Lytechinus pictus: one gene and its partner. The protein of the gene in region 1 purifies or fractionates together with the protein of each later gene. This does not show direct contact. Links are inferred from orthologs where the notes say so. Each region holds a gene or a part of one and is shown on either strand. Other genes may lie near its edges.

Region 1 (9,550 bases):
TTTGAATTATAAAAGGGAGTTTGTGATAAGGGAATGCATTTCTACTACCTATTAAAAGCAGGTAGTGCCATGTGCCTCAAACCAAACAAAAAAAATACAAAAGCAAAAAATTAATAAAAGTGAATAGATGAAGTGATGAAGGCAAATAGAAAAAATGACTTAAAAACTCATAGCAAGTCGGGTAGAATAGCTGAGAAATGAATAAGCTTGTATTGTAAATACTGTACAAAGGCTGTTTCGTGTTTCTCTGTTTTGTGATACCAGTTCTATGTGGAGTAAGATTGCAGTTTGTCTCTATTTTTACATCGTATCTGGGTTCGGGAGATGTTTATTGATGAAGACTTTAGATTTTGGATGTGATGAATAGTTTCACGGTCCATATTATTGCCTTTATCATGTCAATGTGGTCACTCGAAAATGGGAAAAAGACCATATTGCTGTCTCGATAGAATTTTATATCAAATATTTTGCTTTCTTTTCAAATGTTTAATTGTCATCTCAAAAACTCATTTATTTTCATCATGACATAAAAAAAAGAATATTTGTATTAAGAGCAAAAAAGGATAATGAATTTTGAATGAAAAATACCTCCCCCTCTATACTATTATCTTTATTTCCATGTGATTATTTATTACTTTTTCCTGTTTATGTATTCATCGGTGGTACTTGCAATACTTTCTTCGTTCGTACGTGTTTTTGGAAACTCAGTAAAGTTGACAGGGTTGAGGTACCTTATCCCCATGTATTTAATTTTCAAATGTCAAAAGTATCTAGTGTTTGCTCAAAAAAGCAGCTGATGTACTGGTAGACTTATAAGATAAGTGATATTATTTATTGCTTTTGTTGTACCACCCCACGTTTCCCTTTTCCAAGAAATTTATGTTTTATTCTTTACATATAGATCTATTTCTCCCACTCCCCTGTCCGTACAAACATATCAAAACCAAAGAATATATTTTAAGAGATTGACTTTTGTAGTGTTAGACTTTTGGGGAGTTTATCAGTAGATTATCAGATTGGACAATCATGTTAACATTGATTATGACTTGTTACGGTACACAATTTTTCTTTTAAAAGGTAGTTCTGAAATACACTTTGTAAAAGATGCTCATCTCTGGAAAATGTGTTCCAAGAGGCATTCTCGTCATTTGTATTCTATGTTAGACTTCCGATTAAATACTTCGCCTGGTAATACAGGCCTTACTAGTCCTGGAATATTTCTGGCCTTTTTCTCTCAAAAAATAATATTCTTAGAGGAAAAAAATGAAATTCATTAACTATATAAAGCCTCTGTCTTGTCACTAAATACACTGTTAGTAGCATAACATTTTTGAAGCCTTGTGTGTGGTGTAACACAATTTTGCTGTATATAAATGCATATTTCGAATGAAGCGGGTGCTACATAGCTAATGATCCCTTTTACTCTCGGACTGCCTCTTGTAAACTTGCTGCATTGAAAAACAACACATTTTCCTTGTACATACCAACACTCCAACAGGAAGTGTAAAATTGTCCATATTGATTTAATTGTTAATGCTTTAAATGAATACTGATAGTATTCTTTTTAGGGGGGGGGAGTTGGGGAGCTTGAAATGTCAATCTCAATTGAACTGTATCAGTTAATGGTATTTTGAAAAATATAACACTGTATTTTTCTACAATTTATGGGATATGTATCGAGCGCTAAACTTGCTGCTATTCCGGTTAATTGTAGTTGGGGTTCTATGTTATGTAGCACCTTGCAAATGGGGGGGGGGGGGGGGGGGTCCGAGATGGAAAAAATGACCGATATATTTCATGATAGTGTTACTGTTGTATTTTTATTGTACATGGCATATAATGTCGGTATATACGCTTTGTTCATTTGTGTATTGTACATGAAGAGAGTAATCTATTGTTGTTCATATATAACTTATGGAATGAAATTGTTTATTTTGAAGGTTGGAACATTTTTATGCATTTCATTTTTGAAAAAAAAAGAGATATAAATGACTCTTTGTTTCTACTCCAGGCACAGTGACTTTTATGAATCCCCAGTGATATAAGGGGTAAAAGGAAAACCAAAAAAAAAATGTATTTAATCAAGAAATGATAAATTCCATTACTGTAATCTTATTTATATACCCAAAACAGGGACTGCATTGTATTACTGTAAAGAGATTATATCATTCCATTGAAATTCATTCATTATCTGTCAAAATTATTATTTAACTTAAAAAGCATGTATAATACTGCACAAAATATATGTATGGTTCTGGATTTTTTTTTATCTTGCTAAAGTTATAGATTGGCATGCATAAATTAACAGTGACATAAATAAAGTGCATAATTGTATACTAGACAAGAGTATAAATTATGCTTTTTTTAATGTTATTGAACTGACCAGTCCGTCTTTATATAAATATTTGTAGGCGTTAAACTGCACTAGTTCAACACAGAAATCTCAACAGAAAAAAAATACTTTTAATGAAAACCAATTTTCCCACATTTGTCTTTTAAGTTTGAAATTGTTTGATATATAACTCCTTTTACCTAGTTGTAATTTTACATTCCAGAATTAATATATTTGATGCCAATTTTGATTCTGTATGGTATTAACCAAAATCCCTATGCCCTGCACGCAGTTATCCACATATATACCCTGTTACATAGTCCTATTGCAAAATATGCAAATGACCGTATAACTTTTGAAATGTTTTAGTACATTTATTTCTCCCAAAAGCCCTTACAGGTTCTCTGTGTGCTGGATGTAATATTGTGTCGACATTTTGTGTTACAACAACATCTGACAAAATAAAATGATAAAAAAAATCATAAATTGTACAAAACGATATCTGTTTTACCCTGTGTCCATGTATTTGTTAATTGTTTTGATGTGTTGGAAGCGAGCAGGATGTTGGGCAAGAAGGAAGGAGAAATAGGAATAATGTGGAAGAGAAAATGGGGGAAAGTGAGTAGGAAGAGGTAAAAGTGGAGAACAACGAACGAGAGAGAAGAATGGGAAAAACAGAGAAAAGATAAAAAATGAGAGGACGAAGGGAAAAATTAGAATGATGAAATAGAAGAATAAAACAAGAAGGGAGAGAGGGGAGAAGAAAAGATGAAATGAGAAGGAAATTAAAAGTGAGAAAAAGGGTGGGAATTGTACCGAGTAGAGAAATTGAAACATAAGATGCGAGAAACGGTGAAGAAAACGAAATGGGAAGAGGAAGAGTTAGAGAAGAAAAATGGGAAGAGAGACGAAAAGAAAATGGAGAAAAGAGGGGAGGAAGAAAGAGTGAAGAGAAGAAAATTAAGACGAGAATAGAGGGAAATAATAGCTGTCTTTGAGAAATTTTTTTTTTGTGGGGTTGTCTATTTTTTTTTTTTGGGGGGGGGGTTGTCTATTTTGTTTCATTCAGGCATACCTTTTCCACATACATGTATTTTCCGAAATTGACAACTTTGACATGTAACCAAAAAATGTACAATAAATTTTACGATCGTGCATAACATTAATACCGTAAAGGTCTCAGGCAAGCCATGTACAAATACAGTCATGGAAACAAAATGATCTTCAAAATATGTACATAAAATTTAATCAAACTGCATGTATGTACTTGTAAAGACATTGGACAATGGGTAATTAAAAGGGTCGGAACTTAGTGTAATAATTAATGAGTAAAATGTAGTTATCTACTTTTGTTTTCATTTCTGTCTTCCATAGATATGATAGAAATTTCGCTGAAGTCAGTGAGAAATTTATTACCGAAATTTCTGGCTGAGCAAGCTGTTGCACAATGAACAGAGATGGCGCTAAAGCAGAAATTCTTTCATCAGCCATTGAATTAAATTGTTTTTTTTTTTTCAATCAAATTAGATAAAGTTTATTTGGAAAGATATTGATGATGGCCATCACTTTCGCCTCTTTTAGGTTTCGGTAATCCCCAAAGTTTTGTTCAATATTTATTTCTGCAATTTGTTTGTCCTATAATTGTTATGGGGTGAATGATAATTATAAAAAGGGGCATTTTAGTGAATGAATTTGCGTTTTTATAATGATCATTTTATTTCGACGAGGAACCCAATAAAAGAACAAAGACCGAACTATTTTACATCCGATTTTGATGATTTTTTCAGCGTTATGCTTGATTTGATTCAAATCAACGTTTTTCTGTCACAGTGGTGGACGTAACCTTTATAATGCATGAGATTTTAGAATTTTCCCCCTAAATAGTTGTCGCTCAGCTCGAGTTCAACACTTTGGTGGTGCTCAATTCGTGAAATGATCCATTTATTTTTCTTATTGTAGCTTGTTTTTCTTTTGCTTTTCTGAGAACTTGACTTTGTATTATCGCAGCATAGCGAATCCATGGGACCAAAGTGGCCACATGGCGAGGCCTAATAAGTCACAGAAATAGGGAGATGGGTAAAAAGGGTGAACAAATGGAAAAGTAAAGAAATGGGTGGGGCCGGGGCTCAGGGAAGAATCGCTCTTCACACTCTCTTTGATTGTTAATTAGACCCTGTTCTTAAGTTGGTTCAGAAAATGGTTCTGCTCGCGCTTTAGTGAGGTATGCATCCTGTTCAGTTACAAAAAGTGCTCAAGACATGATTGTCCCGTTTACAGGTTTTCAGGTCAGCCGCGCTGGGCGCCAGTCCTTAAAGGTCAAGTCCATCCCAGAAAAATTTTGATTAGAATAAATAGAGAAAAATAAACCAGCATAACGCTGAAAATTTCATCAAAATCGGATGTAAAATAAGAAAGTTATGGCATTTTAATAAAGTTTCGCTTGTATTTCACAAAACAGTGATATGCACAACTCAGTGTCATGCGAATGAGTCAGTCGATGATGTCTATCACTCACTATTTCTTTTGTTTTTATTATTTGAATTATAAAATAATTATATACAATATTTCATTTTCACAGATTTGACAATAATGACCAAGTTTACTGAACCTTGCTAATTCCACATGTTCAGGGAGGAATTGTATAATCGTTGTTTCACTTGACAATGAGGAGAACATTAGAATATATCATTATAATAAAATACAAAAGAAATAGTGAGTGGATGACGTCATCAGTCTCCTCTTTTGCATACCGAACAGGTTGTGCATATAACTGTTTTGTGAAACTAAGTGAAACTTTAAAATGTCATAACTTTCTTATTTTACATCTGATTTTGATGAAATTTTCAGTGTTTTGCTTGTTGGATTTTTCTCTTTTTATTCAATTAAATCAACTTTTGGTTGGGGTGGACTTGTCCTTTAATTTGCACTAGATTCAAGCATGATACCTATTCTTTATAATAGGCCTACCCCCCCCCCCCCCTTGATCCAAAAGTTATTACTAGGCCTACCGATACATTTTTTTTTTTGGGGGGGGGGAGGAAAATGCGACGATTTCTTCTTATATTTTTTGGTGGTCGCTTCATGCAGACACAGGGGATCTCGGATAGGGACTTAAAAATTGGGTTTGTGGTACCAGGCCGTACATAATAATGTCAATTGCTTTATACCTAAATAATGATGACCGATGGGGTCCGATGACCACACCCATTGGCCGCGCCCTATAACGTTCGATACCGGTACTTGTACTAGTTCCTCGACGCGACATACACCGCGCGCTCGCTTAGCGCGGCGCGGCGCCGCTGCACTCTTAGCGTTGTTTTCGCCATGTTGGGATAGGCAGGGCGAAAAGCTTCCGGGGATTCGCTTTCCAGTTTCCAGCGATGGCTGTTCATACTTTCATGTGACAATATATTTGGTAAGCTTATCTATCCAAATATTTGGGTTGATGTTTTTCGTTCTGATTCACCAAAAATCTTTTTCCATACGTTATGAAAAGAAAACATTTATTTCCATCAAAATAATGAGAACAGTCCCAGACGTGCAATTTTGTGTGGTGTTCTGAATAAACTTGTGTTGCATTGCCATTGTTTTTCAGAAAGCATAAACTTGTTATTATTATACTCTTGCTCACTTGCTTAGTCTTCATAAGTTAGACTCAGAGTCTGCATTTTAAGTTTTGATATCCCAATTCACTATAGCTTTAATGAGGAGAAAAATTTATAATCAAGGATTCAAGAAGACAAGATGCTTAGTCTTCATAAGTTAGACAATGTAGTAAAGACAAAAGACGGAACATCTATATTACTAAACCAATCCTGAAACTTTCTAAGAAAAAAGCACGAAACTGGAAACGCTATACCAAAAGTGTTTATAGAAATGAAGACGAGAAACAAGCAGACTTAAATTCATATAAGAAGGCAAGAAATGAGCTAAGAAAGGCAACAAGAGCAGCCAGTCGTAACTTTGTCTTTGAAGATGACCTAGTGGAAAGTATCAACTTTAATCCTAAGGCTTTTTGGAGGTACGCAAATAGTAAGATTAAAGGTAGAAGTCAGATAGGAAGTCTTAGAAGAGATGATGGATCTCTAGTAGAAACTGATAAGGAAAAGGCAGATGTCCTTAACAAATACTTTTGTGAAGTATTTACTGTTGAAGACTTACAAAACTTTCCAGATTATGTGACCGGAGTAGACGCTGATATACCTTGTATGGAAAAGTTAGGATTTGAAACATCAGATGTGACAAAAATGATCAAAACCTTAAATGTGAATAAATCAGCTGGCCCAGACGGGATCCATCCTAAAGTGCTGAAGGAGTTGGGTGAAGTTATTGCAGAACCACTATCTATCATATTCAACAAGTCAATGCATGAAGGTAAAATTCCAGCTGACTGGAAAAAGGGAATTGTAATTCCTCTTCCCAAGAAAGGAACTAGAACACAGATTTCTAACTACAGACCGGTGAGTCTTACATCGATAGCAGGAAAACTAATGGAAAAGATTGTGAGGAATGCTGTAGTGGATCATTTGCAAAATAATCAATTGTTGTATTATAACCAACATGGATTCATCCCAGGACGGTCATGTTCCACACAACTTCTGTATGTGCTTGAAGAATGGACGCAGATGCTTGATGAAGGGAAGCCAATCGATGTTTTGTACTTAGATTTTCGCAAAGCATTTGACAGTGTTCCCCATGAAAGGCTACTACGTAAACTAGAGAGACACGGAATTACGGGCCAACTTCTTATCTGGATGCGAGAATTTTTGACAGGAAGAGTTCAGCGTGTACGAGTAAACAGGGAACTATCTCCATGGTCTCCAGTATCAAGCGGAATACCGCAAGGGAGTGTTCTCGGACCTATTCTCTTCCTAGTCTTTATCAATGACCTATCATCTGCTGTCAACAAGAGTAATGTTGCTTTATTTGCCGACGACACCAAACTTTACAATATAGTGAGTGACTTATCAAAGATCAAAGATCTTCAAGAAGACCTGGATAGACTACAATTATGGTCAGCGAAATGGCAGTTACCTTTCAATAGCAGTAAATGTAAAGTTCTACACATCGGAAGGAATAATCCAGAAGCAAAATTTTATATGCTGGAACAAGAAGTGAAGTCAGTAGCTACTGAAAAGGATCTTGGGGTAACAGTTGATAATCAATTGAAATTTCATCAGCATGTGTCTCTAGCTGTTAATAAGGCATACCAACTGCTTGGAATCGTAAAGAGAACTTTCACTCAACTAAACAAATCTACCTTGCCCATTCTCTTCAAGACATTAATTAGACCACATCTGGAATATGGGAGCGTCATCTGGAACGGTAGATTTACAGAACATGCCAAGAAGGTTGAGAGAGTACAGAGACGAGCAACAAAACTAGTGAAGGACTTGAGAAACGTACCGTATGAAAGGAGACTCAGGGAACTTAACATGTACTCACTCTATTATAGAAGGAGGAGAGGAGATATGATAATGGTCCACCAGATTATGCATGGATTGGTCAACATTTCTCCAGACCATTTCTTCTCCAAGTCTGGTAGTAACTCTACAAGAGGTCACTCCATGAAATTATTGAAATCCCATAGCAAACTGGATGTGAGAAATAAGTCTTTCAGTAGAAGAGTCATCAATGACTGGAATAGTCTTCCTGAAAACCTAATACAAATGCCAACAACAGACAAATTTAAAAGAAATATTGATATTTTTTGGCAAAAAAAACACTTTGAGCTTCCATGACTCCTCACGCAAGCTCATGAAGTAGTAGTTTTCAGTGACCAATCATACAAGAAACGACCGGGAATTACAGGCTTGCGCCTTCATCCCGTACCAGATGATGATGATGAAGATGAGGATGAGCCATGAGCATGATGAGGGTCACTCTAGGCGACACCCCAATACTTACCCGTGCTAATAAACTGGGACTCCACTCACGCGCATTTGGGCCGCCCTAGCTTAGAACTAAGCTTTGTTTTACTAAAAAATAAATCTTCTTATGATTCAATAAATGTTACTTAATAAATTAGTACTGTTAAATCGGTACTCACCGGTTCTTTTCTTGAATTTTCTGGCAATTTCCCACGCTTCTGGCTTCAATTCTGCGGCTGTTCCTGTCGCGGTAGACAGCTACATATGCAACTTTATTTATAAATGGAGCGCCCCTTACGAGAGTTGTTAATGCCGCGGAGAAATCGTTAGGCATTTTTGCCTGTGTTCAAGGCGTAGCTGTTCTATTTTTTTTTTTATAGGTATGAGATCGAAATCACAGCGAACTCGTATTTACACTCTTCCATAATGATTCCGAAAGAGAGGCGCATCACCCCCACCCACATGGGCGCAAATCCCAGGGGGACATGTCCCCCTCACCCAAAATAGTCGGGGGCCGGGGCACATTATGAAATGCCCCTCTACTATTTTTGGTCTTTTAATTCAAAATCGAAATAAAACATGTATTTTGGAAGAGACGAGCTTACTTTTGGGGTGCCCTTTTTTTTTTTTTTGGGGGGGGGGGCTTGTTTGCTTGTCAAATTTCTTTTGGTCAAGATGACCTTCTTTAAATTGGGGTGATAAACCTTTTTCTTTAGTTTGCTTGTCAAATTTTCCAGCCCCTAGTCCCCCTACCTTTCGGGAGAGATTTCCGCCCTTGCCTACCCGGACTACTCTTGATATTGTTTGCGAATCTGCACGGGCGTCGGGGGCTGGGGGATGAGGAAAAGTAGTGAGACGAGAAAAAAATAGAAGGGAAAAGAGGACAGAAATAAAGTAAACGAAAGATAAATTAATGGAAAATAAAAGGGAGGAGAAAATAGTGAGAAAAGTGAGTGGTAGGTCGAGATTTTATGTGCCCGTGCAAAAAGAAATGAGCAGAGGTTGAGATGTTGTCCGTTTGGGCAAATGTTTGTCTGTTTGTTGGACTGGCGCCTGTTGCAAAAATTATTAAGCTGATTGAATCAGGACTAAATGTTCCAACTGCTTCATGAGGATTTAGCGGTTGTAGGTATAAATCCGTATAAATCGCGCTCTAACGCTCTAAAACTGTGTTCCGGGCTGTGTTCTTAAAAGTTGTCCTTCATATTCATTTTCGCAAAGAATATAAAGTTTTCAATCAATTGTCTATAGTTATCCCGTTTATGATACAAAAATACTTAGAAATTGGGTTAGGTTAGGGTTAAAAATTATCAGGGCACAAAATATATTTTTTCAGCTCGAGCGTCGA
Region 2 (8,874 bases), on another chromosome or scaffold:
GGATTATTTTGTTCAAAAGAATGTTTTTATTCAATTAAAATAAGGCTAAAGTAGCCCTTTAAAGTATAAATCTACATCTATAGCATAATATTAGTAATAACAACAAAGAAACAATACCAAAAACTGTAGATATTGACCTGCAAACAATACAGGCATACAGTACAGCGAGTACACAGTCACGTATCCTTGACCGACCAATGAATTCCATTTATCGATACATTACCAGCTCTTGCTTTTCGTCAGTTGGCTGCACCGACTTTCAGCCAAATGAGAAAATAAATAAATGTCACAATCAATTTAGAGTCCGAGTTTGACTACCAAGCTAAATGCCCCGCAAATTGGCTTTGTACAAATAGACAGGGAGAAGCGGAAACCATGGATACTTTGCTTTAATAACAGACTCGTTTACAGACTTGGCAGAACAAGAATTTCTAAGGGTTCAATCTTGGAGATTGAATGAGCGTATTGCAGATTGTAGTTATATTCACTCTGAAACAGGATCATGCACACAATTGAAGAAATCATGCTTTGCATAGTCAATGTTGCGTTTGTCCCCAACCATTTATATTACAATTTTGATTACTTTATTATACTACACATTACGTGCCTAGCTTGGAACTTTAGATATAGCACTTCAAGCAGTTTTCAAAAGTGTAGTTCTGAATTCATAGTATCCACTGTATCTTAAACTAAAAGGACATTCAAGAAGACAATAAGAAGACATTCAACTGACAGCTAAACGCTACATCATGTGGGAAATGTCAAATTCTCAGTGCCATGTACTAGAACCCTACTCTCTCTAAAAACATGTAAAAAGAGCAAAATTAATTGAAAGATAAATTTTCCAGTATGCCAAATTCACATCAAATATGAATAAGATACAAATTCATTCAATGCAGATTTAGATATTCTTTATTTGTTTATCCCACTTTCAGGTACCCCCTTATTTATTTCCTTTCTATCTGTACTTCTTTTTCCTTCCTCATCTCCCCTCTTCTTCATATTTCCTCTACTTTAATTTTCTACATGTATGTTCCTTCTTTATTGCCTCATGCTGATCTTTTTCCTATTTTTGTACCAAGATTTATATACAGTGAATATACAGTAATAATGAATTTTCCTCCTCTTTTACGTATTTGTATCTACATGTAGTTGTGCTCTTTTTCATGTGCGTGCTATTTTTTCATGTGTATACCATTTTTATATTGCCAATAATCCAACTCTCACTAATTTGCAATGAATGAATTTTAATACATTAAAGTAATTTCACATATTTCCTTTTCACCATTATGAACTTGAAGCAAAATAAATATAGAATTACACATCTCAAAGCAAGATGTTGATGAATATGCATTTAACAATTCCAGGAGGGCCTCAATGATACATCAATTGAGCGGAAATTCAGCCATTTCTAGTCTAGTCTCCAATTAATAATATCACAGCTTCATTCACATTTTTCTAGTGTAATTGTAAGTGCTGAAGAACATCAATTTCCTATTCAGAAAAAAAAGCAAAGATCACAAATATCCGACTCCAGAATGTGATGGAAGTAATGTGAAAAGAACATTCTTTCTGTCCTGGTGAATCATTGCTGCCATCGCCCCATGCTCCTAAATTACATTTTGAGGATTTTGGCACTGACTGGAGCCTCCTCTAAGTGGCACTTGAATGAAACCAGAGACGACAGTTCGCCTTTTAAAGGAGCAAATGGGAAGAAATTGAGTAACAGGTTGGAACGAAGTCTATCATTAATGTGAGGTGTTTACGTTAGAGTTGGCCCCGCTGGCCTGGAGGGTATGAATTAACAGTTCACTGTTGCAGTTGCTCAGGGTACGATTTTAGTTGCTATGGGTTACTCTTTAAGTGTTGTCGATAGTTTCCTGTAATAATGCATGGGCTACAGATGTTACCAATGTACATTAGGAGAGATTAGTACCGTAAGAATGGGTCTCGGCCTGTACAGTGAACTCTGCTAAAACGGGAGAAATATTAATTTCACTGACAAATTTGGCATTTGATCTTTGTCAATGGAATCACTGACTGCTCTATTGTACAGGTTGTAATGGATATATTCGAAAGCGGGTTAAATTTACATTCTGTCTGGTGACTAATAGTTCTACACCAGTTGCAAAAACTATGAGAGAACAAGGCAGTATGTGTACTGTATCCAATTTGTTACTAACTAGTGTTATAAGCTGTTGAATATAGTGAATGATGTGACAATGTGCAGCTCTAGGTCAAAAATTTAGCAAAGGCTTTCCATTTTTCTAAAGAAATTACATTATTAAGGCAATATAGTATTAATAATGACAGTCTTCTTCAAGATTTATTTCATTAGAAATAATATTATCATTTGATAGCTTAAAAGTTTTTTCCCCCATAATATTCACTGCTATGCATATACATGTATTATTGAAAAAAAAAAAAAAAATCACATTTTTGTTTAGTATAATGGAAAATTAATATTGTACTTAGTAGTATCAAAATCCAATCAAAGTAAATTTTAAAGAAAATAATAATCTAGGATGGCAAGTACATTAATCATTAGGAAAACAATATCAGTTAACATAGATGGTAAAATTCTCAATTCCACTGCACAATACCGTTTGGCCACTGAGATGGTGCTTTTGGTGACTTTCGAAACAAGCTACCAAAACTACAGTACATTGCAAATCACAAAGGGAGGAACACTAGTGCACTGAATGCACTCTTGGGATACAAGCAGATTCATCATATCTACCTATTCATATACCTTTATAAGTCTGTTCTTCAAAACAGATTCAATGTTATTATGAATAAATCAACCAATGCCTATGGTATTAAATTGTTGCATGAAAATAAAAATCACTCATGTTGACAAGGGGTGGATTGCTAACTAGCCATACTAGTCGTATTACACTGTATTATGGTAAAGTGGAATTGGTAGTCATTTATTATTCATTCACAGATCAGTAATTCATTAACCATTATCCTTGAATAAAGTAATGGATAATTTCTGCATATTACTGCCATAGATTAATTTGTCCCTTTTCCAGGAATTGCAGCCTGATATTCTTGTATTCACTACTAATCATTATATGTTATGTTACATACTGTACAGGGACAAACAGCAAATTGTTCATTGCTACCTCTTTAAAAATCTGTTAAAAATAAGCCTGAAGAGAGACTTTGCAAAGCAACTATTATTATTTAAGTTAAAAAATCCATGTGACTTAGACCTATGGTATTTAAAATGCAAACTTGAATCATTTATCATAACACATACTATCATTTTCAGATATTACAAACTTACATGTATCAATATTATCATTGAATTATCTACATCATCATAATCATTTTCCAAATGTTACCATAATTATCTTTCATTAATGAATTATAACTGTAATTATAATAAATATTTTTTCTATTATAATTATTGTGACCATCATTATTATCAGATATTGTTGTTAGTTATCATTATTATATCATCATAAATTATTTATAATTGTCATTTTATCATTATTATCACTATCATTATCACAAATCACAATTATTGTTTTGATAATTACTAATATTATTATCATTATCAAAATTATGATTACTGTTATCATTAATTTTATAGTTATTTTTATCAATATCATTATTATTATTATCATTATCATTATAAATCAATGCAATAATCATCACCATCACCAACATCATCATAATCATCATCACCATTACCATTGCCAACATCCTCCTCCTCTTTATCATCATCATCACCATCATCATCATGCATCATCATATTCATCATAATCACCATCATCATCACCATCATCATCACCATCACCACCACCATCACCACCACCATCATCATTACCATCACCACCACCATCACCACCACCACCATCATCACCAACATAACACCACCCTCCTCTTCATCCTCACTGTGATATACATGTACAACTAGGGGGTAATAATAAATGGTCAACTTATTTCTTCCCCTAAAGATAAACCTAAGAAAGTGGATAATCAAAGATTTTAATACTTGAATAAAAAAAACCCCAACACATTATTGGTACAGGCCTACCTAGTGATATATATTTTTTATTGTATAAACCTTACTGTTTCACTTCCTAAAAGTTTTTAGACCCTATATAGTTGTTCCACTTCCTAAAAAAAGTTGAAGTAGGTCCATCTAAAATCAATTTTTTCAAAAAGTTTTTTTTTTTTTTTTTTTTTTAAAGATTGTTCTGTGGGCCTGATGTTGCCATCATAAAATGGTGAAAAGCGGCCCATGACTTTAAATTAAAAGTAGTCTACAAGATTTTTTTTAGAGAACAAAAAAGAACAAGACAAAACCAAGTTTTACAATAAGTTCAATAACATCACTGATTTAATCAGTTTAGATAAAGAACTACATGTAAATCAAACACATACTTACATAAAGCCCGGTTGACAAAAAATATGGAAAATATATATCTCCTTTCAGTTTCTTAGAGCTATTTATCCATCATCAGTTCACTTCCAATTTCCATTTCTTGGAATTGTCAATGCAGTCAGGCCATGAGCTAGCTTTGTCTCTCAAATCGACTTGATGATATTGAAGTGCAGAAGCAAAAAAAAGCAGAACAGTGTAGATTTTGCCTGAGATTTATCAACTCAACAAGAGTTAAGAGGAGTTCAGCGCCAAAGGCAAGTTTCAAACACCTACTGTAATTTGTATGTTCGCCGCTGCTAAAACGATCCAGCGGGTGTCTGAAAGATACGTGAACCGACCAATTCGGGTGTCCGTCGATGTACAATCCGTAGATAATAATGTCAGTACCCTCGAGATCAAGTAGAGAAATTTACAAATCACTGGCTGCATTATCACGGTTCAATAAAACAGATACATATTGATGCGATTTACTCCTCATATTAGCCAATCAGGACTCTCTCTTAAAGTTTGTGTCCATCCTCTATCAGTCATAGCTTAGGCGACAATAGAGTCTGTCGAGCGTGAGCGAGCAGCCGCAAAAATCGAGAAATGAAGGATGGGTGATCGGAAGCGTGAGCTGGCGCTGATGCACTTTGACAAAGCTCTTCGGAATTTCTCCCCGAAGCTTGTCCGCATGAAGAAGGAGGAAACCCGGAAGTTTCGAGCTCTACTCACGGAAAACAAAACACAGTTCTTCTGATTTACCCATGACATTAACATTAACAACTAACAATTAATAATTTTTCGAGTATAAAATATACTAAAATATCTATAAAATAAAAATTATTCTTCAATAATTTGTTAATTCTCCTTTTAAGAGCAAATTCAGTTTTAATATATGATTTTACGATTAATACCACTGCGCGTTGACATCAAAATTGGCACTCATTTTCCAAAATGTCTCGATCAATGCCTCAATCAACTGTCCGGAATCAAATTCAAGAGGACTGGGCAAACAGGGAGTACATCGAAATTATAACAACCAATATAAAAAAGATAGCAGATTTCCTCAACTCTTTTGGTGAGTCTAATTGTATTTTTTGGTGATGAAATCATTAAAAGTGTGGGCGTGTGTGGGAAATGGGAGTGACTTCGTGTTGCCCCACTCGTAGGATTCTTTGTGTGCTATTTGTATTTAGTTTGCACATCTGGTGAAATCGACCGAATCTTTTAATTTTAACTTAAATTTGATAACGGGCTGTATCAACGTTTCAATTAATACAAAAATTATTGCTATATTTCAGAGAAGTGATTCATGGTAGATTATATATGAATACATTTTCAAACACTTCTTTCTATATTCTATTTTTACTTCTAGTTTCTAGATCAATTCATATCATATGCGTAACGTAACGGTGAATTTCATTTTCAAGTTGATTTTTGTACATTTCGCCTTTCGGCCTCAAATGATAATATTTCAATACTTTCGATAAAACATACAAATATGAATATAAATCAATAAGGATACATTCATGCATTTTTGGTTTGTACGAAGTAATGCATACAAAAAATAGGTACAGGTACGTTGCATAATTATAAGAAAAGGTAAGTAAAGAAAATATGGTTACACTTCGTAATTACGAAGGTTCGTAATTCCGAAGGTTCTTTATTCTGATGGTTCGTAAGTCCGAAACACGTAAATTGCCTATACCTCGATGTTCGTTAATCCGAAAACGTAAAAGGGTTCGTTAATCCGAACATTTGTGGCGTTATTCGGAAGGTTCGATAATCCGAAAACGAAATAAGGTTCGTTAGTCCGAAAACGAAATAAGGCTCGTTAATCATTAGTTTTCGGACTAACGAACCTTCGGAATTACGAACCTCATTTCGTTTTCAGACTAACGAACCTTCGGAATTACGAACCTTCGGAAATACGAACCTTCGGAATACGAATGTATGCGGAAAATATAATAGCGGTATAAACTAAACTAAACAAAAATAAATCCCAATCGTTTTAGGCAGTGACTAGAAGTAAATAATGGCATAACACATTTCCATTTTCTTTGATGGAGATTTAGCAATATGCATACAAAGAAAATAAAATTCTTTTAAAATAAAATGCTTGGCTTATTACTATTTATACTTGTGTAAATACATCTTTTTGCAAGAATAAGTAAGATATGATTCTTTATCTTTTTCTAGAAATCCTACAATTATGGTCTGTTCGTTCAGAGTAGAAAATCAAACATTGATAAATTCGTTCCAAAATGTTTGTACGTACATGTACATTGTAGCTATAATGCCATAGTGCCTGCTCTAAAGTTTCATAATCTTTAGACATCCCAAAGAGCATTCTGGCGAATCTTCTATTTTCATTTTAAACAAGTTATAATTAAAAAAATATAGATTATTTAGGACTTTAAACTGAAATTCTCTAGTTCTTGTATCAATGGATGTACATGTATTTAATGTTATTTTTCTAACTTTAAATAATACAAGGCTCGACATTAGCGGTGGCCACCAAAAATTCACCTCGGGCAACCATTATTGATAAAATGTTAAGTTTTGGTGGCCCGAATCGGGCAACCAATAATTTTCAAAGTAGCGCAATTTTTCTCCCAATTTTGCACGCATTTATCAACTTTCTACAGCTCAAATTGCAAGCCAGTTCGTCATGCGCCCTTTTTGTTGATCTACACACAAATACACACACACAAAGTTTGCATATTAGGCCTACAGCTATAGCATACAGTAGCTATTATCCAGCCAGCCACGCCGGCCGGCTGGCGTGAGCTTTGCATGAAGCCACTGCATACAGCTGTGCTCTAGATCTAGCTCAGCCTATTCAGACTCAGGGAGCTGCGATAAAAAATGTTGCTGCTGAGAAATCTTCCACAGAACTTTGAAAATCTAAGTCAAAGTCACCTTTTACACCAATGAAATGCAATTCTACAGTCTTTATTACGAAAATCTGGTGTACCCTGATTATTTGCAAGTATTAAGAAGAGGAATTATGACCTCTCTTTTGACTCAAAAAGACAGATTTCCACATGAATTAATACACATAAAAACACATAGGCAAGTACATCACAGTCCCACGTGTGCATTTGTATGTATGTTGATACTTGGTTTCTTTCGAAGCTGTGTATTTTCTAGCCTTAAACAAACAGACAGTTTCTTTCTTTCTTGTTTATAAATGACTTCTTAAACTACTCTTGAGAAAGCAAATACTTTGGGAAGGCATTTCATTGACATGAAATGTGATTTTTTTTCCCAACATTTTGGCAAATATAGGGAAGGACTTTTCTCACACTTTTTTTCCAGATATAGTTTTTGCCGTTTTCTTTTTTTTTCTCCTTTTTTTTTGACAGTGGTTAAACCATTTATACTCCTTCCTATTGAATATGCCTGATATAAAAATAGAAATGTGCCATTCCCAAAAGGCAAGTGAAAATTATTTGCTTGGATTTTAATTATATTCCAGTCAGAATAGACTGTTGCCACAGCTGTTAAAAAATATATGTAATGGCTTCTTAATTTTCCCCTTTTCCCCATTTTTATATTAACTTTGTTTTATTAATTTTTCTTTTCTTTCATTTTCTTTTCTTTTTTCTCTCTGATTTTTTTCTTTTCTTTTTTATCTTTTTTTCCCTGTTCTTTGTTTTTTTCTTTCTTCATTTTCTTTCTTTTGTTTTATTTCACTAATTTCTTTTATTATTTTTGTTTTCTTTTTGTTATATACTTTTTGAAAATTATTTTCGTTTGTTTCCCCCTTTCATGCATTATTCTAATTTTGCAGCATATTTTTCTGTGATTTTCTCCTTCTATAATATGCTGCAAAAGAGAAAACAGAAATAAACTGGATTTGGGGCATGCATAATCTAGGTTTTAGGATTCAAAGTGGAAGGAAGGAAAAACCATTGTTTTGTACATCTATCTGAGTTTGCTATGAACTATTTATTTACTTTACCATTATCTCTATACAGAGATTTAAAAAAAGTCCACACAACCTGCGAACAATACAATTCATTTATTCACTTTCAATCATTTCATTTTTACGACGATAGAAACAATTATCAATTAGCAAAGTAAAATAACAGCAAACAAGGTTTACATACAAGATGTATAAAGTGAAAGTAACTTAGTGGTAGTGGCTGCAGAATTAATATTTCAGAAATTTGTTTTATTCATTTTTAATGTTTGTCTTTATATTTTTCGGGCCACCAAACTTTAATATCGGGCCACCAAAAAAAATTATTTGATGGTTTTGGTGGCCCGAACGGGCCACCACCAAAAAAAGTTAATGTGGAGCCTTGAATAATACAAAATCGCTTAATCTGTACTTACCCTTTAATCGAAAAGAACTTCTCTGAAAGGATTGGGCATTACAATATCGTCTTTTAGAAAATTAATTTCATCTACCTGAAATTGAATAACATTTTGATCCCTTTTCCTTTCTGTTATTTCAAGTCATAACGTTTTAAAGAGGCATCTGA

The links.
Region 2: the proteins of cytoplasmic FMR1-interacting protein 1 homolog (region 1) and protein BRICK1-like purify together in Drosophila melanogaster (affinity purification with western blotting; 4 studies listed by BioGRID). This does not show direct contact. The link is inferred for Lytechinus pictus from reciprocal best matches to the Drosophila melanogaster genes Cyfip and HSPC300.

Annotation. Positions count from the first base shown.
Region 1 is NC_087249.1:49,435,681-49,445,230, reverse strand, and holds the start of cytoplasmic FMR1-interacting protein 1 homolog, read left to right. Parts: upstream 1-5,599; 5' UTR 5,600-5,747; intron 5,748-9,550. UniProt on the Drosophila melanogaster protein: Plays a role in guidance and morphology of central and peripheral axons and in synaptic morphology. Also required for formation of cell membrane protrusions and for bristle development.
Region 2 is NC_087247.1:5,996,975-6,005,848, reverse strand, and holds the start of protein BRICK1-like, read left to right. Parts: upstream 1-5,289; 5' UTR 5,290-5,335; coding exon 5,336-5,459; intron 5,460-8,874.